2 linked regions of the Oryzias latipes genome follow. The protein of the gene in region 1 interacts with the protein of each later gene in a pairwise test. Links are inferred from orthologs where the notes say so. Each region holds a gene or a part of one and is shown in the gene's direction. Other genes may lie near its edges.

What was found.
Region 2: the proteins of tp53rk (region 1) and tprkb interact in binary tests that used the Homo sapiens proteins (3 or more experiments, as listed by UniProt). The link is inferred for Oryzias latipes from reciprocal best matches to the Homo sapiens genes TP53RK and TPRKB.

What each region holds. Positions count from the first base shown.
Region 1 is NC_019879.2:917,668-921,901, forward strand, and holds the start of tp53rk (TP53-regulating kinase), read left to right. Parts: upstream 1-1,433; 5' UTR 1,434-1,505; coding exon 1,506-1,710; intron 1,711-3,933; coding exon 3,934-4,234.
Region 2 is NC_019881.2:365,707-369,851, reverse strand, and holds the start of tprkb (EKC/KEOPS complex subunit TPRKB), read left to right. Parts: upstream 1-1,343; 5' UTR 1,344-1,451; coding exon 1,452-1,592; intron 1,593-1,659; coding exon 1,660-1,782; intron 1,783-2,675; coding exon 2,676-2,852; intron 2,853-3,958; coding exon 3,959-4,042; 3' UTR 4,043-4,145. Other genes in the region: alg10 (dol-P-Glc:Glc(2)Man(9)GlcNAc(2)-PP-Dol alpha-1,2-glucosyltransferase), read right to left, coding at 813-977. UniProt on the Homo sapiens protein: Component of the EKC/KEOPS complex that is required for the formation of a threonylcarbamoyl group on adenosine at position 37 (t(6)A37) in tRNAs that read codons beginning with adenine.

The sequences.
Region 1 (4,234 bases):
CGCAAGATCAGCCATTGTGCGTCATTACGCATTGTGATGGGGCATTTTATTTCCCTCCATTTAATTACATCTGAAAAGCTACAGATGTCGGGAATAATCGACGTGGAAATGGGAAATTGATCAGCGCAAATGTAATTTCTTGTTGCTTTCTGAATGGTTGAGACATACGCCATACATTGTTTATCAAAAATAAAACAAACTAAAGGCATATGCATGAATACCATAATTCTGTAGCTTATGGAGAAATGTTTTAATATGAAAACAACTTTCCCCAGTGGACAATTAGTGCGTCTGTCCGTCCGTCCGAACGCCCGCACCTATATCTGCTCCGCCAGACGGACACATTGACGAGAATATCAGTTTTGTACATTATTTCGTTCTGTTAACTATATTATTTATGAGGATGAATTGCACAACATGCCAATATTGCAGAACATATTTCACTTTTCTTTCTGCAAATAAGTGTTCATTTGAATTTCTGTTGTAATTTTCGTTTGATCTTTTTTGTTTGTTTCACTGCTGATCGATCAAACGGATGTTGGTGTAGCTGTTAATTGTCAGACTTGCTTTGTGAAGTCTTCATGTTATTTATGAGAGGCAGTATTGTCATTTTCACTTTCACGTGTTTGTTCCATCTGCCGACGGCGTCACCGTTTCTCATTTCACCCGTTTTTGTGCGTACGCCTGGGTCAGAGCGTGAAGGACCGCACATTTTCCCCTCAAGTTTGCTTTTTATAAATCTCAACTATTGCGTAGAGAGTGGCGTACGCCTTCTTTTGTGCGTACGCAACGTTTATGAATGAGGCCCCAGATCATTGTAGTTGTCGTGCATGGTGATATGTTCTGACCGTAATTCCACTATTGGGTTGAATGCTATAAAACCTTCAATCATTGTTTTCCTGTTTCTCTTTCTTTATTCTAGTATCTTTGGCCATTTTTTCCGCTTAACTCCTACAATTTTTCATCTATTTTAACCATTCAACTATTCAAATATTCAGCTCTTTCCAGCTACAACTTTTGGACTTTCAAATCCTTGAACTTTTCCAGATATTCCAGGATTTTGGCCTCCGTTGAAAAACATGAGGGATCCTTGGTGCAGAAGCTCACTGGTTCGATACCCGGCTCTGGCATTTATCACAAAAATATGTTTTTTGTTATTGTGCTGTTTTAACTTTATTTATGGTTAACTTTGATCTTTTTTTAATTCATTTATTTATTTTCCAATGATTCCCCTTTACGCTTCCTTTTCATTCAGCGATACAGCATCAACCCATATTTTCTTCTGGAGATGCAGCTCCTTCTAGTTACAGAGAAATATGACAAAATCTAAAAAAACGACATGATGAATCTGTGGAAAAGAACGTAGATGTGTTTTTTTTTAGACAGGCAATGCTAATATAAAAAGATAATTTAGAACATTCCAGGAACATTCCAGTCCAGTAGGTGGCGGCAAACCTCAAACCGCCAGTAAAACGCCAGAAGAAGAAGAAGAAGCCGCCGCCAACATGGCGACCCTCCAGCTGCTGCGGGGCGCAGAGATGCTGAAGCAGGGCGCGGAGGGCCGCGTCTACCGGGCCGAGTTCCTGGGAAAACCCGCCGTGATCAAACAACGGTTTCCGAAACGCTACCGACACCCAGAGCTGGATGAAAAACTGACGCACCGCAGAACCATGCAGGAGGTCCGCAGCATCGCCCGCTGCCGGAGAGCAGGTGAGTCCCGCCGCCGCCGCGGTGCCGATCCCCGGCTTCAGACGCCTCTGCTTCCCCCAGGCGGAGGCCACTGCAGCCTAGGACCGTCCAGGACGTCCTGCTCTCTAGTTCACCACGAAAAGCTCCACGAGGCCTCGCGGGGTTTGTCCACGCACGAGGCGAAAGGTTCTGTCTGCTCAATCCGGGTCAGCATTAACCCTTTGTGGTCCTGGACCGCTTTAACAATTTGTAGAACTTTACAATTTCCTGGAATAATTCACCTTTAACACAGTTTGGTTTAGCAAAAGCAACAAAGTTTTTACTTTATTTTACTACACAACTGCACAGGACACCTGAGCGGTAGAAAAACACAAAGCAGAGTTGGAAATGTTGTCATTTTTTAACTGCAGAATGAACAAATTGTTTTTTGTTAACAAGAAAAAATTATAAACCCAAGAATTCCATGTCAGAACATTCGTAAACTACAGTCACACATCTTAAAATGCAACCGTGTGACGACCTGTGTGCAACTTATTCAGGTAATTCAGATTGGATGTCTCAGTTAATTTACTAAAAATATCTCTAGTTTCCCAGGTTATTTTGTGGCTGCCAACTCTCACGCCACACCTTTTTCTCACGCTAGACGGCAGTTGACGTTACTTATTTCCTGTTGATTTTTTTCTTATTCCTAAACTTAATGGAGAGACACAAACAATGTTTTTATTATTATATTAGCTCTGACTGCCGGAGACACTACGCTGGTCACTTTAGCCTAAGTCACTTCACAGGCCGTGGCTCTCTGGTTGTCTGGGTCCACAGGTGAGCGCAGGTGTGGCGTTCACTTCCACTGAGGCTCGTTCGGCCACTTCAAGGACGTCAGGAGAATGAAACGTGCGATTGTTTGATGCGCGTGTCCTAAATGTCTCATGAAGTCTTTGTAAGGATACGCAGCACTCCTGTCCTCCTGATACACTCAGGATTTATCGTTTCTAGCAGCCAGGCTGCGCTCCAACAGCCTGCACCTTTATGGCAAGCCAAAAGGGTCAAAATCTGTCATGAAAAGCAGCGAAAATAATGATTGTCTCGACTGGAGTTGGTGTTTCTTTTTTTGCTCTTCCTTTCCTCTCTTCCTTTTTTGGTTTTACCAGTATGTGCAGCATTAAGGCAAAAAAAAAAAAAAAAAAAAAAGAGACGTTTGTGTTTTCCTGCTGAAAAACGCCGCCATGAGACGAGAGGTTTCAGTCCGTCTCCTGTAGTCTGGACCAAAGATTCAGAGCTGCTGAGAAAACGAGGACAGATTCACTGAAGGGGAGCAGATGGACAGAAAATGCCCCCCCCCCCCCCCCCCCCCCCGATTCTGTCTCTAGTTGATTCATTTTTACATGAAATCAGAACAAAAACAGCCTAAAAACAGGATAAAAGATGCCGTTCAAAATCTACATCTTCTTATTTCAACGTTTTGTTGATGTTGTATTTTTTACGATGCGCATAATTCATTTTCACTGGGCACTAGGGGTGTTTTAAGTATGGGGTGGGGAGGGGGGGCATTTTTGTTCAGACGGTGAGAACAAAGAATTGCGAACAGAAGACGGGTTTTTTTCTTCCCTCAGTGTGAAGAGCAGAGGATCCGTTTTATCCAAGTTCTAAGAAATACATTTGATTAAAAGAGGAACATTTTGCATTTAAATGTTCTCATTTATTTAGGATTAAACCACGGTCCGGGTGAACACTCCATTCTGATCGCCTGCTGGGTGTGGACTAAAAAGTGAGAATCTAAAAAAGTAGTTCCAGCTGAAATGTTCTGTATCACTCCGCTGGCTTCTTTAAAACAAACGTAATCTTCATCGTCTGGACAAAGACGAGCGGCAAGAGGAGAGCTTTCCCTCTGAACTGATGCTTTATTGTTTAAAAAGTGATCCAAACTGAAAAAATAACAAGAGTAAAGGACTAAAAACTGGTTGAACATTTATTTCTTTTGCAGGTGACCATAGTATAAGCGGGTTGATGACCTTGGAAGTGTGCTTTATCAGAAATGAATGCACTTCATGGAAGCAACCGGACGGTTGCTTCCATGAAGTGCATTCATTTCTGATAAAGCACACTTCATCTTCCATTAATCCTTCCATAACCAACTCAAGTCGTCTCTATCCTATCATTTACAGACAGGATCAAGGCAAACTGTGATATTTACTTGGCCTCTGACCTTTTGCAGCGTCCGGTCAAAGACTTGTTTCTCCTCCACAGGCATCTCCACCCCCGTCGTCTACTTTGTGGATTACAGTTGCAGCTGTATTTTCCTGGAGGAAATAGTTGACTCTCAGACTGTGCGGGACTTCATCGCATCCGCCCGGCGGTCGTCCTCGCGGTCGGACCAAGAGCTGCAGCGGCTGGCTGAGCTCACGGGGCGGATCTTAGCCAAAATGCACGACGAAGACGTGATCCACGGAGACCTGACCACCTCCAACATGCTGCTGCGACGCAGCGCCGACAGCTCGGAGCTTGAGTTGGTCCTCATCGACTTTGGCCTGAGCTACATTTCGGCTCT
Region 2 (4,145 bases), on another chromosome or scaffold:
TATTTTGTATTGGAAATCAGACAATGTTGACTGTTCCCTTTATATATTTTATGTTACCAAAATAAAAGCACAATGAATTTCCTGGATAAAAGCAACTTATATATGAGATCCAGTTGCAATGCTTAACATTGGGATCATTGAATAAACTGACTTTGCCCATTTTATTACAATGGGAGACGTACTGACATTCAGGTAGAGTTTTTTTCTAAGTCAGACTCCAAAAATAAAATGGAAAACGTGTTCCGGTAAAATATCAGGATATGTATCGTATCTTATTTGGAAGTGGACGGCTGCAGGGATACTGATGTCTTCAATGACGGGCTGCAGAGATGCTGCCAGCCCCCCCATTAATGAATACGTTCATAAACCGTCAATCCAACATCGGAGCTTCTAAACATTTGTAACGTCATCAATAAACAGCTCAGATGTTCAAATCCAAGACAGTTTGACCAAATTGAGTTTATTCGGTCTGCTGTGCTGCTGGACTGTTTGCTCACTTGGAAAAAAGTCAAAAAAATTACAACTTTAAATGTCGTAATTTTACTTTTCTGTGGCCCCAAAATTCTGAAAAAATACAAGTAAAACAAGTTTAAAAATATGTCATGATTCTTCACAATAAAAGACTTTATTTATGTTGTATTAGTTTTTGTCTAAGTAGTTCATGTGGACAGTGTTGCACTAATGCATTTGTCTGTGTCTGTCATGGACAACATGCCTCATCTGGACCTGACAGCAGCCTCATCTCTGACCTTAATCCCCATGATGGAGCCCCTCCCCCTTCATCAAACAAACAAACAAAGACAGTCTTTTACCTCGCTGAATTTTCCCTGGCAGTACTTCTGGGCTTGCGGAACATGGAAGATCTCGTCCATGTAAGCCTCCCTCTGCTCTCTGGTGACTTTGGAGAAGATCAGACACGAAACCAAGAAGTTGGTGCTGCACAGAGCAGCGAACACGTAGCCTTCAAACTTCTCCATATTCGACCCGGAAACACGCAAAAGCGACTACGAGCACAAAGCTAGCGGTGATAAAGCTGAGGAAGGCGCATCAAGACTCAATTTATGTTTAAAAACCAAAGAAAAATGAAAGAATTTAGAAGGAAAAGCTGTGAAACTGTCCCAGGAGAGTCAACGGAAGAGCTGTCGACAGCTGGATGTCCGTCGCTTAAAAACGTTCGAATTGCTTACATAAATAGTTCCCCCTGGTGGATTTACAAGTTATTTATTTTCACTAAAAACGCAAAATGTATCATGTAGATATTTTCATATTTCATATAGATTAAGAAAAAATTCACAAAACCGAATACAGTCAACGGGACAGAAAAATGGCAAAATGAGATTTTGGAGCGGTGTAACAGCGAAACGGTTCCGCCGGAACCCCGTCACACGGAGCTCCATGCCGGTTGTTTTTTTGTAGTTTTCCAACCTTTTAGGTCCTAAATAAATACACACATGCATTTCACACAAAAGCTGGAGCTTTTCCCTGAGCAGCACGTGACTCAGATGCTTTTTAAAGACGTAAATAACGCGGCGGAGCTGAGGCAGGACGCCGTGGAGGGGAACATCCACGCCGCTCTCATCAACCCGACCATGGTGAGCACAGAGCGGTCAAACATGCTGCTATGCCCGGTGGGTTGACGCATTCTGCTTCCGTCTGCAGCTGCTAAGTCCTTTCCAGGCGCTGCTGGCTGCAAATAAAGCCATTCATTCACAAAGCATCGGAAAAATGAAGACGAGAAGTTTGAACTCGGAGATCATCTTCAACCTCTCACCGACCAATAATGTGAGTCACGTGACCGAGAGCAAACACTTGATTTCCCTGTCAAGACAAAAACTCTGGGCTACAGTTGGTCTGCTCAAGCAAAAAGTCTGTTTTCTCCTTTTAAATAGAATGATGTTTATAAGTACTAAATAATACTGTGAGGAACAGTGATCTACTAGTTTGTTCATCTAGTTTTATTCAATGATTAATCCTTTTATAATGAACTTCTCAAATACTATACAGTAAATAACTTCATATCTTTACACTGGATGAAGCACTAAGCAGTTCTATGAGGGAATGGGCATCTACGGCCTGCAGGAACAGACTTTAAAGATCCACCTGTGCGTTTGCTCTGAGGCCTCCAGGATGAAGCAGCAGACGGTCGTGGAGAAACAGAAGAAGGTTTTCAGTCGGTGGAACTGAAGGACTACCAGAAAGCAGCGTCTTTAGAGCTCTCAATGATTGACACTTATTCAGACTCACACATGCCACCAAACATAAAAACAAAACCAGAAAAACAGGAAGTTAGTCTGAGCTGCGGCTCCTCTTCGTCCTCTCAGCTGATGGTTCAGTCCATCAGTCACTGGGCTCAGCTGATCCTCCGTAAGGTTGGCCTGTAGAAGTAGAGTTTGGAGAAGGTCCTGTCATTTCTCTTCTTTTGAAGAAGGGGGGATGGAGGGACCGCATCCAGACAACACCTGAAGTCTGGAGCCGGACTTCAGAATCTAAGCAGCTCTAAGTTTAGTTGGACAGACAGAAGCCTGAAGTGGACCTAAAAACCTGGATGTCTGCAGCAACATCAGTTGGTTTCACTGAGGGGGGGCGCTAACCTTTCAACAGCACCACTGTTACATAAACCATGGATTGTTGTCTCATTAGGGTCACTCAAACGTTGATCCTGCTCTCACCTGCAGATTTCAGAGGCCTTCAAACGCTTCGGGATCTCCCATCAGGACCGCTCCCTTCTGGTGGTCGTGGTTCACAGCAGAGACGACTCCGAGGTCTTGTCCCACATCGCCATCAGGGTGGACGGGCAGGAGGTCCCAGTGGAAGAGTTTTCCTCCTTTTCGGATCCTGCAAAGATCAGAAAGGTTTTCCTAACGTCTGCTGGGTTTTTGTGGGAATGACAGCAGGTTTCCATCAGAGCTTCATGAGTAAAGCGTGAAGAAAATGGAAGAAAGAAAACAATCCGACTCTATTGCTGACTTACTTTAAAGATAAAACATTCATTCAAATACTTGATTGTGATTGAATTGCATAAGAAAAAAGATTTGTGTTGACTTTGATTGCAGTAAAAATCTGGAGAAATGAGCTCAAACCCTAAAGATCAGATGAGAAGTTTCTCTAGTGTCAAAGTTTTCCTTGAAGGTTGGGAGAATTTCCGTGTGGAGTTTGAAAAAAGCTGTTTGCAACATTTCAGCTCAGTTTTTCTGCTGAGCTGCAGCAGAGCTAAACGGATCCTCAAAGCGGCTTTGGATTCAGATTTCTGCTTTTTAAACGTAAAGTGCATCAAGGCGCACACAATTAAGCGGTCGATTCCAAATATCTGAATCATTTTCAACAATAGAATAATACTTTTACAACATTCTAATTAAGAAACGAATTTAACTTGGAGTGAAAAGAAGACGTAAGTTTAGTTTGAAAAATCAGGGTTTGACCCTAAAATGTAACAGAAACGCTGAAAATCCTTCTTTTATGGATGAATGTTTCGTCATGTCACAGTTCCAGTCATGACTTTTTTCATGTGGGGTGGGTGATGTCACAAATTCAATAACAATAGAGTACAGAAAAAAACAGACTGTCAAACACGGTGGAGGGGTCATCATGGGTTTGTGGTCTTGGTTACTTGAACACGTTGGGAGGAAGTAAAGGTGAAGGAGGAAGATGATCCAAAACATGGAGCCTTCATCAAATTCTAGACGTCGTTTCCACGGCGGTTGTTTGGGATGAACTGCAGAGAAAAGTCAAACCTGGAATGTCTCTGCTGTAAAATATGAGGAATATTTACTTTTTGTAGCATGAATTAGTGTTTCCAGCTGTTATTTTGTCAGTCTGGGTCCATTTTCCATATCCTAAATAATCCCATTTCCAACATTTTTAGAGCTGATTTAGTGCCGTGTGTCTTCAGCTCATGTTCTGAACGTCTTCCTGTTGTCTTTCTGTAACGTGGCGTTTCTGCCCCCCCCCCCCCCCACAGCTGTACAAAGTGAGTCCTCAGGAGGAGAGCGGCGGCCTGCTGGACGCCGTCGTCTGCAGGATGGCCACTAAAGACGTCATGTAGAAGAACACAAACTTTACTTTTCCCACATGACTCTGGTTTTCCAATATTTTCTTCACAAGAAAAAGAAAACGCTTCCAAAGCTAACATTGGATTTTTCAGTTGT